3 linked regions of the Cricetulus griseus genome follow. The protein of the gene in region 2 interacts with the protein of the main gene of each other region in a pairwise test. Links are inferred from orthologs where the notes say so. Each region holds a gene or a part of one and is shown on either strand. Other genes may lie near its edges.

Evidence for each region.
Region 1: the proteins of L3mbtl2 (region 2) and Tbc1d9b interact in binary tests that used the Homo sapiens proteins (3 or more experiments, as listed by UniProt). The two-hybrid records come from large-scale screens. The link is inferred for Cricetulus griseus from reciprocal best matches to the Homo sapiens genes L3MBTL2 and TBC1D9B.
Region 3: the proteins of L3mbtl2 (region 2) and Paics interact in binary tests that used the Homo sapiens proteins (3 or more experiments, as listed by UniProt). The two-hybrid records come from large-scale screens. The link is inferred for Cricetulus griseus from reciprocal best matches to the Homo sapiens genes L3MBTL2 and PAICS.

Annotation. Positions count from the first base shown.
Region 1 is NC_048600.1:64,592,486-64,596,809, reverse strand, and holds the start of Tbc1d9b (TBC1 domain family member 9B), read right to left. Parts: upstream 2,957-4,324; 5' UTR 2,892-2,956; coding exon 2,774-2,891; intron 1-2,773. UniProt on the Homo sapiens protein: May act as a GTPase-activating protein for Rab family protein(s).
Region 2 is NC_048595.1:378,817,598-378,821,883, reverse strand, and holds part of L3mbtl2 (lethal(3)malignant brain tumor-like protein 2), read right to left. Parts: intron 3,288-4,286; coding exon 3,170-3,287; intron 2,551-3,169; coding exon 2,416-2,550; intron 2,052-2,415; coding exon 1,963-2,051; intron 1-1,962. UniProt on the Homo sapiens protein: Putative Polycomb group (PcG) protein. PcG proteins maintain the transcriptionally repressive state of genes, probably via a modification of chromatin, rendering it heritably changed in its expressibility.
Region 3 is NW_023276807.1:143,382,025-143,386,410, forward strand, and holds the end of Paics (multifunctional protein ADE2), read left to right. Parts: intron 1-515; coding exon 516-780; intron 781-1,017; exon of another isoform or gene 1,018-2,310; coding exon 2,311-2,469; exon of another isoform or gene 2,470-2,493; intron 2,494-2,747; coding exon 2,748-2,914; 3' UTR 2,915-3,519; downstream 3,520-4,386. UniProt on the Homo sapiens protein: Bifunctional phosphoribosylaminoimidazole carboxylase and phosphoribosylaminoimidazole succinocarboxamide synthetase catalyzing two reactions of the de novo purine biosynthetic pathway.

The sequences.
Region 1 (4,324 bases), on a different chromosome or scaffold from region 2:
CTTCTACCACTGCCCTTCTGATCCACTCTTCTTGATTACTTAAATAACGAAGTAATCAAAAAAAAAAAAAACAAACCCAACAACAACAACAACAACAAAAAACCCTGTCCATTGTTCCTGTTTGAAATGTATGCCTTCCTTTTCAAGGAGATCCGAAAACACTCCGCTGCTCTCTTCTTGGCACACAAAACAGTTTCTATCAGTTTTATTATTCATCTTAAATACTTTTTGCTACATACCATTTTTCATCTGACCCCCTCCATCTTTAATAAATTCGATGGATGGTTACAAAATAGACACATCCAAACAGATGGTTTCTCACTTGTTTTACTGAAATGTTAAAAAAAAAAAAAAAAAGTCACCCTAATTGCGGTTAGGCATCTAGGGAGATAGACGGCTCAGCGTAAAATGCCTACTATGCAAGCAGGAGGATCTAAGCCTAGATGCCCATCACCCACATAAAGATGGGTGTGGCAGCTTGTGCCTGTAACTTCAGTGAGGGAAGCAGAGTGGAGAGGGATTACTGGAATCCGATGGCCAGCCAACCGTCCCAAAACACAAGGTGGAGGTGGAGGAGAGCTGGAGAAACAGACACCCATGTCAACTTCTGGCCTCAGCACACACATGCATGGGCTCCTGCATGCATGTGTGCATACAAATACACACACACACACACACACACACACACACACACACACACACACACGGAAAGTATATAAATTGCAGTTAAATGGCGCACACTTTTAATCCTCACACTCAGGAAGCAGAGGCAGGCTGACCTCTGTGACTTCAGACTAGCCTGGTCTATGTAACAAGTTCCAGGTCTGCCAAAGCTAAATAGTGAGACTACCTCAAAAACAAAAGGAAAAAGGCACACTCGAGTTTTCCCAGAGTTTGGAGTAAATTTTTTTTTTTTTTTTTTGAGACAGGGTTTCTCTGTGGCTTTGGAGGCTGTCCTGGAACTAGCTCTTGTAGACCAGGCTGATCTCAAACTCACAGAGATCCTCCTGTCTCTGCCTCCTGAGTACTGGGATCAAAAGCATGCACCACTACCCGCCCCACTTGGAGTAAACTTTTCAATGTCCATGTTGAGGTTTTTCTTTTGGTCTTGGGAATATTCTTTTAGTCTCTGGATAAATTACTGGCATAGCCATATTGAGGACCTGAGACCTTTTTAATCTGCTGACCATCTTCTCACGTCCACTCTTTAATGAGAACTCCAGGTTGGCTAGTTATTATTGCTATTTAAAAAATTATTTCCTTTCTTTTGTTTTTGTGTTGTGAGGCAGGGTTTCTCTCTGTAGCCTTGTATGTCTCGGAACTCACTCTGTAGACCAGGCTGGCCTCCAACTCAGAGATCTGCCTCTGCCTTCTGTGCACCACATGGATGGCTCATTTCATTGCTTTTTCTGTGTTGTATCTACAAGTATGTCTGGTGGCCATGGAGGCCTGAGGAGGTTTCTGGATCCTCTAGAACTGGAATTACTGCTGGCTGTCAGCCACCATGTGGCTGCTGGGATTTGGACCTGGGTCCTGCTGCCAGGACCCAGGAAAAGAGGTTTGAATAAATCTGCATTACTGATGGATCTCTCTTAGGGAGACAATGCTCAGAACTGACATCTGTGAAGGCACAATAGCTACAGCTGCTTGCACAAATCTCGATCAGTGGGATTCGGAGGAGTCCATAGAATGGCTGGGGCAGTACTCTGGAAGCTCAGCCTAGGGGGACACAGAGATGAATGATGTAACAAAAGGGATTTGTCATATGGTTTCCTGTGTTCCCCAGTGGCCTTGTGGCCTTCCAAGGTTGGTCATTGGGCTGCCCAGGACAGCTGCTACCTAACTGTCCATAAACTTTGGGTCCTGGAGGCCGGTACAGTACTACCTTCAGTAATCTCCAGGCCCTTCGGGAAGGAGCCTGACTGTGGAAGAGAACATTGAGTTTTCTTGAAAAAGGTACAGTTCCTTCCACATTAAGAAGTGTGGTTCATGACAGCCTGGCAGCTGATGGCACCTATAAGAAGCCTCCAACTGCATCTGGCAGGACTGTTAGCTGCCACACTGAAAATAGGGCCTTTCGCAGAGAATTCGCTTTATAAACCGAACGATATGGCACCCAGAAGGGTCCACTGGAGTCTCCTGTAGGGCCAGACCTGTTCCTGCAATACCTGACGGCTCTGGAGCACAAGGGGCTTTGAATAAATCCTGCTCAGTAGACTCCCACAATCGCACATGTCACACAACATCAGAGGCACCCACACCAGCTGCTTCTGTATGAGTGGTGGTGCCCAGACACCCAAGGGGCATCTGGGCTTTCTCAGGGGCACGCTTCATATACACTGATAATTATGCAAAAACAAGCATTGGGTCTGGAGCTCTGATGGCACCATGTGAACAGAAGCTGGAGGAAGGGGAACAGAGCATCTTTGATCTTCATAAAGAGACAATTCCTGGGTGAGTTGGAAAAAAAGAAGAGGGCAAAAGAAAATGTGTGTTTATCCCACTTGGTCCCTCAGAGTCACTTGGAGAAATTGAGGCAGAAGGCGAGCTGGGGGAACTCTGCACGCTTCTGGCTGCTAAGTTCCTCTGCAGGAGTGTGCACACGTCTCCGGGAGATCACTGCTGCCCTCCCCTGCCACCGGTCCTGGGACGATCCTCCCCGCCCGCTCTCCGACCCCTCGCGTCGCTGCGCGTGCCCGCTGGCCCTCTGGCCGCGTCCTGCTGTCCCGCCAGGCCCGGTGCGCACAGGCCCGGCCACCCGCGCCCCGCTCACCCGTGAGGCCGCCGCCCTTGCCGTGGCCCCGGCGCCGCTGCAGCACAAAGAAGGGGTTGGCCCGCTCCGTCACCCACAGCGCGTTGGCCACCAGCACCTCCTCCGGCCCGAGCCACATCGCGCGGCCGCTCGCACCCGGGCCAGAGCCCGCGAGGCGGAAGCGCGCGCCGCCGTCGCTGCGCTCGAGCCGAGCCGAGCCGAGCAGAGCCGAACGGCCGGGGCGGGGTCGAGACGCCAGCCCGGAGGATGGCGCCCCCTGGTGGCCGCGCTCGCACGCAACGCCGCCCTCCTTGCTCTCTCCTGGCCTCGCAGTCCCGCCCAGCCCCGCCAACGCTGTCCAGTTGATGGGGAAATCACATGCCCTCCGCCAACTGTGCAGCCCAGGCGTGCTAATGGCTGGAGAAGGGTTAGCAGCTCCTGGTCAGCCTCGGAATCCTGACGCCTAAGTCTAAAGTTGGAATCCTCAAGAGTCCAGTTGTCAAGAAGCTCCGAGGCAGCTGGTGTCCTTGGAAATAGTGCTCTCACCCCATCTGACAGATGGGTTGAGGTGGCCTTAAGGCTGGGGTCACTGTTGGGCACATTTTTGCATAAGCGGGCCTCGCTATGGTCTAGGAGCACAGAGCCCCGCTCTTCCCTCTCCTGGCCAGAAGGAGGCAATCACTCATAGTGCATATCCACCTTCAGATCCCAGCCCAGGGCTCCTGCCACTCACTGAACCATGAAGCAAAACTAGCGTCTGTGGGCTCTGTCAACTAGAGACCGGTGAAGCAATTAGGAACAAGACAGTTTCTAACTCAAAGGTGCTCTTGCCTCTACCTGGACAACAGGTGTGAATCATATTTATTTTGGTAAAGGCCAGGGAGATGGCTGTACGAGGTGTCTCATGTCACCTGGATGTGGCAGGAGGGTGAAAGGAAGGTAGACTCATTCTGGGAGGTTTGGGTTAGTTTTAAAGGGTTTTCTTCGAAACAGGGTCTCTAATATTTCTGTATTTCAGGCTAACCTCAAACTCTATGTAACTATGGATGATCGCAGACTCTTTGATCCCTCTGCCTCAGTCATTACCATTGCTAGGATTGCAGGCATTCACCACCAGGCCGGGGATGTAACTTGAGAACTTCATTCACTCTAGGCCAGGAGGCTGAACTGCATCCAGAGTCCCTTGAGTTGGGTTCTGTCACTGGCATTCAAGGTCTTGGGTGTGGCAGATGTAATGGGTGACAGGCAGAGTGAATGAAATGCAGCTTGTGACTCTAAGCTTTCAAGATATGGAGACTGGTTTTCCTTAAGACTTTGGAACACAATACTCTGAGGTTTATCCTGACAGAGTACAGAACAGTCACTCAGCCTGGCTGTCCATCATATTGCTACAGGGGGGAGGGAGTATGGTATCCACCTGTGAAAATATAATGAAACTCATCATCTTGCACATACTAGATTTGTAGTCTAGCACGTCAGTGTGTTCTAGTAATAGGAAAGAGGGTTCGGGAAAGCATTAACCGATGCCACTGTGCTCTCTGGAGAATTCTACACTCAAGAATTTGGAAGTAA
Region 2 (4,286 bases):
GTAAACACACACACACACACTTTGTATTCCCATAGTACTTGCTTTTTGTTTTTTATAATTTATTCTTATAAATAATTTATACACTGGTATATTGCCTGCATATATGTCTGTGTGAGGGTTTCGATTTCCTGGAACTGGAGTTTACACACAGTTGTGAGCTGCCTTATGGGTACTGGGAATTGAACCCTGGGTCCTCTGGAAGAGCAGCCTGTGCTCTTAAATGCTGAGCCATCTCTCCAGTCCCAGTGCTTTGGTTTTTGATTTATTTTTATTATGTTTATCTGTATGCCATATGTGTGGGGTACTGGTGGAGGCTAGAAGAGGATGTTGGGATCTCCAGAGCAGGAGTTTCAGGCAGATCTGAGCTGCCTTATGTGGTGCTGGGAATTGAACTTAGGTCCTCTGGAGGACCAGCAAGTACTGTTAACCACTGAGCCATCTCTCTAGCCTCCCCCACCCCATTTTTGTTAAGACAGGGTCTTGGCTGGGTGGTGGTGTCACATGCAATTAATCCCAGCACTTGGGAGGCTGAAGCAGGTGGATCTCTTTGAGTTCGAAGCCAGCCTGGTCTACAGAGCTAGTTCCAGGACAGCTAGGGCTACACAGAGAAACCCTGTCTCAAAAAACCAAAACCAAAACCAAAAAATCAAAAACAAACAAAAAAATTTAAAAACTAAAATAAAAGCCGGGCGTTGGTGGCACACACCTTTAATCCCAGCACTCAGGAGGCAGAGGCAGGCAGATTTCTGTGAGTTCGAGGCCAGCCTGGTCTACAGAGAGCTAGGACAGGCTCCAAAGCAATACAGAGAAACCCTGTCTCAAAAAAACCAAAAAAAAAAAAAAAAAAAAAGCTACAAGTTTACTAACATAATATATTCTAATGCTTAGAAAAGTTTCAAACAAGTCATTCTACGTCTCAAATGAGAAATCACAATGTTCAGTATTAAAAAGAAAAAAGGGCTGGGCGGTGGTGGTGCTCTTGGGAGGCAGAGGGCAGAGACAGGCAGATCTCTGTGAGTTGGAGACCAGCCTGGTCTACAAAGAGCTAGTTCCAGGACAGCCTCCAAAGCCACAGAGAAGTCTGTCTCAAAAAACCAAAAAAAAAAAAACCAAAAAAAAAAACCAAAAAAAAAAAAAAAAAAAAAAAGAGCACTGACAACATTTCCCAGCACCCACATGACAGATCACAATTGTCTATAACTCCAGTTCCAGGTGATCTGGCACCTAGACACAGACATATATGCACATAAAATAAAATAAAATATGAATAAATATTTTTAAAAAAGCAGGCTGAGCAAATCATGAGGAGCAAACCAGTAAGCAGTAATACTCCATGGCCTCTGCTTCAGTTCCTGTCCTGACTTCCTTAGATCATGGACTATGATGTGGAAGTAAGTGTATGCAGAATAAACCCTTTCCTCCCCACATTCCTTCACAGTAATGGTGTTTTACCAAAGCAATAGAAACCTAAGATACTTTTGAAAATGTTAGAAGAAAGGGCAAGAATCTGGGACATTTCAAAATCCAAAAGGCCAAGAAAGCAAGAGGATCAATGTGGTGGACCAGGGTCTTGGCAGGGAGGCAGGTAGCCACCCACCAGAGGTAGTTCTGGACTGAAGACTGCCAAACAAAGTCACAAGAGAGTACTATGATGGGGTTAGGAGCATTACTCACGGTACTAGTATATGGAAAGCCCTAGGTCCCACTCCCAGAACCACAAAAGCAAAATAAAACCCCTGAAATGAATCATATGAAGGATGGAAAAAAGTGGGAGAGGGAGGGAGGGAGGGGGAGGAGAAAGGGAGTGAGGAGGGGAAAGAGAAGGAGGAGGGTACAGAGGGAAGGAGGAGGGGGAGAGGGAGGAAAGAGGGGAATAGGGAGTAAGGAGGAGGAGGGGAAGAGGAAAGGGAGGGAGAGGGGAAAGGGAGGGAAGAGGGAAAGAAGCTGGGAACACAGTCAGACCTTGATGTGAAAATCTGCAGGAAGTGTCCTGGAGCCCACCAACCGCTTCATGAGGTAGCTCTTCCAGTCAGTACACTTGATGTGGATGGCTACAGAGACACAAGCACAAGCTGGTAACAGATTGACAGCACCTTCACCAACCCAGAGATCAGCTGGAGGGATGGAAATATTCAGTTCCACCACTTCAGGCCAGTAATGACTTCATCTTATAAAACCAGCCTCTAGGGGCTGTAGAGCTGGTTCAGAGGTTAAAAACACTGCCTGTTCTTCCAAAGGACACGGGTTCAATTTCCAGTCCCCCACTCCCCCCAGTGATTCACAACCATCTCTAGCTCCTGTACACATATGGTAAATAGACATTCACTCTGATATATATATGAATCCAAACTACCCAGGAACTTCTAGGGGAAGGAATAAAGGGACCTGGCATGGGGAACTTTCTCATTAACTCACTCCGTGGAGGCACCAGGATCTTGCTGTTAATGGCACACCAACCAATGGGGTGGACATCCACAGTCCCCAGGTTGCACCAGAAGTCATGACTGGCATCATTTTCAAAGCCTTCATATCGGAGCAGCACTCGGTACCCTGAAAGGAAGGGCAAGGGGACCTGTGAGAGGGAGGAGATGGGAAAGGCACATTCTCAGGCTTACTTCCTCCTCTAGCACCAGTCGGACTTCCTATGCTAGAAACTCCTTCCAGACGAGTGGGGTCCCTGATATCCAAACAAAACAAAATCCAGGCCACATACTTAGAAAGCATTCTGGGCTGGAGAGATGGCTCAGAGGTTAAGAGCACCAACTGCTCTTCCAAAGGTCCTGAGTTCAATTCCCAGCAACCACATGGTGGCTCACAATCATCTGTTATGAGATCTGGTGCCCTCTTCTGATGTGCATATATATATGGAAGCAGAATGTTGTATACATAATAAATAAAATCTTAAAAAAAAAAAAAAGTGTTCTGGTCTGGTAACTTCCTCTATACCCTCATTATCCCCAGAATAAACCTTAAAAATAAAAAAGAAACAATACCCTAGTTTTAAAGTTTGCCCAGTTCTGTGCTCTCATCTAAGGGAGGAGAACCTCCAAGAAGGGAGAGAAAGCTCGTGAGTGAGGCCTTGGTTTATGAGGCCTATTTTACCCTATGACACTACCCACCCACTTGATAAATCCCAGACCCTGCCCTGACCAGAGAGCAGAACACCAACCAGCTGCCTGGATGACGGAGGCAATCCAATACACCCGGCTGGGGAGCACAGCATCACTGTTGAGGACCTCTACCTTCATCCCCTTCACGACATCTTCCCACTGGTCATAAAGGGGTACCTGTGTGGTGAGGAGAGCATTGAAGGGCTAAGAGGAGCTGTCTCAGGCCTGAGCCATCATGTCTGTCCCCTAACCTTAACATCATACATCATGCACTGTGCAGAAGACTAGGAATAAAGAGGTAAACAAGGCATGTCCACTGTCTAGAAACGTGGGATGGCAGAGTGCCATCAAACAGAGCCATGGGAAGAGGGTTAGAGGCACAGACTTGAATTCTCATCATTACAGAGCCAGCTCCTAACTATCAGTATAGACACACTCTGCATCCTCACCTGTTATTCTGCCAGCTGTACAGCAGTGTCTAGCACAGAGACTACCCTCTTTAACATCATTCAACCTGAGCTTTCACACAGAGCCGGCAGGACACACACACTCATCCCAGCCCTTCCCAGCTTCCGGCTGCCTTACCAATGCCTAACCCTAGACTTGCTGCCAATGGTAAGTTGATCCCCTTTGGATCTTTCACTATCAGATTCAGCCTAAGCTACACAGGCAATAATCCATCTCCCAAGGCAGACAGGCTCACAGAGGCCTGGGGCAGCATGCAGTGGTCCAGGTACACAGGCAAGTTTTTTCTGTTTTGTTTTGTTTTGTCTTTTTTTCCGAGACAAGGTTTCTATGTGTAACAGCCCTAGCTATCCTGGATCTTTAGACCAGGCTGGCTTCAAACTCACAAAGATTCACCTGCTCTGCCCCCAAGTGCTGGGATTAAAGGCGTGTGTGTGTCCCACCACTGCCAGGCTCCACAGGCAAACTCTTTACAGGGCTTCTTTTATATTGTGTTAAATGTGACCTAATTTCCTTACAATACAACTGTAGGGAAAAAGAGAATGCTTTCTTCCCCTGCAAGAAAGACACATTAGCAACTCAGAGAAGGACATTGTAGGACTTAGGACCAACCTGTCATAGTTGAAGACAAGTGGACAATCCAGGAAGGCCAGGCAGCTGGCTCACTCTGCTCAAAAGAAAGCCTCAGGAGGCCTCTCTGACATTAGGAGA
Region 3 (4,386 bases), on a different chromosome or scaffold from region 2:
AAGTGTTTACCTTTAAAATTAATCTCTCTCTTCTGGAGATAGAACACAAAGACAGGGCACTTGCTTAGCACACACCAGATCCTGAAGTCAACCTTCAGTATCCAAAAGTAAAAGTGAACCGAACTCTCCTGTGGTGGTAAGGAATACTTTTAACCTACAAAGCAGGCTTTTTTATGTCACCTTCAGATTCTTAAACAGCAAAGGGACAACTGTCCTTGTTTGTCTAATCTTCACAATACCAAGACTAAGGGACGGAAATGGGATTCTACATACCAAGTCTTAATTAAGGCTTTTAACTCAACTACTTGTAATTGCTAAGGAAGAAAGCATTTGACCTGGAATGAAAAGCGAAACTTTGCTGCTGAACTTTTTCATTGAAAAAACATTTCTCCATCAACGGGCATTTTCAGATATATCTCATTATGTAAACTTGTCATAAGCTCTACTTAAAGAAAGGAAGGAAGGGTTTTTAAGCTAGCAAGAGAAAATTATTTTGTAAATTTCTATCTTTCTAGTCTTACCGTGACCTCAAGGAAGTAACTCCGGAAGGACTGCAGATGGTAAAGAAGAACTTTGAGTGGGTTGCAGATCGAGTGGAGTTACTCCTGAAGTCAGATAGTCAGTGCAGGGTTGTAGTGCTGATGGGTTCCACTTCTGACCTTGGTCACTGTGAGAAAATTAAAAAGGCTTGTGGAAACTTCGGGATTCCATGTGAACTTCGAGTAACATCTGCCCATAAAGGACCGGATGAAACTTTGAGGATTAAAGCAGAGTATGAAGGTAAACTTAATAAATAAATGGACAACTTCAGCTATTTCTGATTTGGGTAAAATATTTTAAAGTACATATGTTTTGGATAATAATGTTTTAAAGAGGCTTTCCATATTTCGGAGGAAAGTCATGTGGAATGCCTATACTTTTACACTTATCCCCAGGGATAATGTCTGACATCCTATCCCTCTTTGTGTACCTCATGCATGTGATGCCCATAAACTCATGCAGGCACACATACTTGTAATTTTTTTGAATCTTTAAAAAAAAAAAAAAAAAAAGGCTCATTGATTAAGAGGAGCACTCACAGCCATCTAGCTCCAGTCCAGGGGAATCCATCAACTTCTTCTGGCCTCCAGGAGCACTGCACACCACACCCATGCATAGACATGGAGGCAAAACAGCCATACACATAAAATAGAAGGATGTGTGGTCTCCTTGTCTTATTAACAGTGCCCCTTGAGCACTGTTGCTGGCTTATTCCAAAAGAAAAGAATCCCTTACCCCAACTGTGGGATGCCTAAGGCTAAAGCAGCAGGGCCTCTCTGGTATCTTTGTCAGTTTTCTTGAAAGAAAATAAGAAATAAAGCTATAGTTTCAGGAGTTAATACATTAAGTAAATGATAGGATATCGTTGGTACAAGAAAACTTAACAGAAGTGTAGTTAACAATGGGAGGAGGGCTTCCGGTCCTTTAATAAGCTAATGAAGGCTTGGATTCTTTCTCCAGAAAGGCAGACTAAGTTGTAATAAGAAATTCAGGATTCAGTATCCAGCACCACATAAAACCAGGACCTGTAGTCCTAACAGGTGGGAAGGTCGGGTTTGCTGTAATTCAAGCTGAGCCTGGGCTAGAGTAACACTGTATTAAATATACAAACTTCCTAAACTTTTGAGATATAGAGATGTACTTTTGCTGTTGGTTTTTGATACTGCTAATGATGGGCCTTTCAACTCAAGCATCCTAAGCCCTTTAACTTTGGGTGCTTTTACTACATGTACTCCAGCACCCAAATACTGAATACTGGAAGTAGCCACGAGAATTTTAATCACTATTAAATGAGTCTACTGGCACCCTCTGGAAGGACAACTCATCATAAAAGATAGCTGTTCAGCTGGTGAGGTTCTTCATGCTGCTGAGTCTAAGCAGCAATATCAGAAGGAAGCTGTGAACCAGCCATTTCCTTACCAACTTCAGGACATTCTCTTTATACTGTAGATCTCAAAAATGGCCATTCCTATGCTACTTAGGTTATTATTAACTGTACAGCTAGGTATGCTTTTTCTATAGCAGACTACTAAAGGATTTGAGTTCATTTTGTATTTTACATTTATTTTTATAGTATATGTGGAGGTTAGAGAACAGCTTGCAAGAGTCAATTCTTTGCCACTATATGGGTTCTAGAGGTCAAACAGGTCACCAGACTTGGCAACAGTTCCCCTTACCCACTGAGCCATCTAACATGCCCCCCCCCTTTTTTTGTTCCTGCTGTTATTGTCAACAAAACAAAAGGACCTGGTTATCTTGTAATTTCCCTAGGCGATGGCATACCTACTGTATTTGTCGCAGTGGCTGGCAGAAGCAATGGTTTGGGCCCAGTGATGTCTGGTAATACTGCATATCCGGTTATCAGCTGTCCCCCCATCACACCAGACTGGGGTGCTCAGGATGTGTGGTCATCCCTTCGACTGCCCAGTGGTAAGATCTTGAAAATTTTCAGTACTGGGAGTATACACAAAATTTCAAGATGCAATCTTAATGTCTCTACCAGCCTCATCTTCTAATATTTAATTACACATTTTAGCCACAGCCTACTAATTTTAAATCAGACGTTATATTTTTGAATTATTGTGTATTTTTTGCTTAATATGCATCTCTTAAGAAGTAAAGACTTGGCTTTATTATCATCTTTTGTTTTTTTATTTCTTTTTAAGCTACTAACTCATTTATTTGTCCTTTCTATTCTGAACCAATAGGTCTTGGCTGTTCAACTATACTTTCTCCAGAAGGATCCGCCCAGTTTGCTGCTCAGATATTTGGGTTATACAACCATTTGGTATGGGCCAAACTTCGAGCAAGCATTCTTAACACATGGATATCTTTAAAGCAAGCTGACAAGAAAATCAGAGAATGCAATTTATAAAAAAAAAAAAAAAAAGTAATTTTTAGGAGAAAAGTTACACATTCCTAGTTTGAATTAAAAAGAAAGAATTTAAGCAAAATGATTTCACATCAGAGAAAACAATTCAGTTTACTGTTGAACAAAATGGTCCTCTATATTTTAGGGGTTGACAAGTTGTCAGTGAGTATTTGTTATTAATATTTTCTAGTTCTGAATAATGATGTGTTCCTGTAACCTCAGCACACCAGAGGCTGAGGCAGAAAAACTATGTGTTGAGACCCTGTATTGAAATAAAAAAATCTTTATAGTTAGTAAAAATTAGTATGACACTGTTCAATTATATTATCAATCACTACATGATCCTTGTTGGGCAGTTAATGTAACATTAGCAAAGAAATGTCTTTTATGGAGCTGGAGCTGTCTTTCTGGTTTAAGAACCAATGTGGCTCTCTTGCAGAGGACCAGAGAATTTGGTTCCCATCATCCATGTGGAGTGACTCATAATCACCTGTAACTTCTAATTATTTCTAAATGCTAATAATGATTTTTTTGTAAATCAGTAGCTACTGGTTGGTCTTCTGTGGATCATGATTTGAAAATTAAAATATTTCTGTTTATGCTAATAACTATTCTCACTGCATGGTCTGTATGTTCTAAGTCCTTATCTAAGAAAGTACATAGCTACATGAATCTCCAGCTAAGGTATGTGTTTGTGCTTTGTTGGGTTTGTTTTTATGGTGGTGAGGAAACCCTAGGTCCTTACACTTGGTAGGCAAGCACTACCTCTGAGTTACATCTTTACCCATGTTTGCTTGGGGGGTTTTGTTTTGTTTTTAAAGAAATTGAGAATAGGGGTAGAAGAAACACATAAAGTGGAAGTGATGGAAAGGGCTCCTTCCTGAGGTGTTTGTGTATTAGGACAATTCTTGAAAAAAAGTAGTCTCCTTCCCATTCCAATAAAAGACTACGTAAATTATGGCTTAGCCATTTAACTAGGTTTTATGGTAGGTGCCTCTGTGGGCCATAAACTTTGATTTTCTAGTAAAACATTTTGGACACAACTGCAGTCAAAGGAGTGAGTGGATGTAGTGGCTAGTTGTTGGTTTTGCTAGTGAATAGCTGGACAGAGGGCCTAGCCACATTCACTTCTGTAACACCTGACATTACTGAAAAGTCAAATGCTATGTTTCATGAAGCTTAGTTATAGATTCCATCACAGTGTTTCCCCATTCTTTGCCATATTCATCACATGCACTGAACTAGTTGGGTCTTCTATTTACTTCTCTCTTCTGCTCTGCTGGCTTCTGTACCTTAAGTCCTAAGTCTCAAGTCTTGAACATATTTACTATGCCTAGCTTGAAATTTCATGCTGCCTTTCAGTGCCAAATGCATGGCAACAAGTTTGCTACAAATATTCAAAGTCTAGGCAGGGCAGAATTGTAGATTGTACAGTTCTTTATATGAATGAACTCAGTGTATTTTTTTCCTTGCTA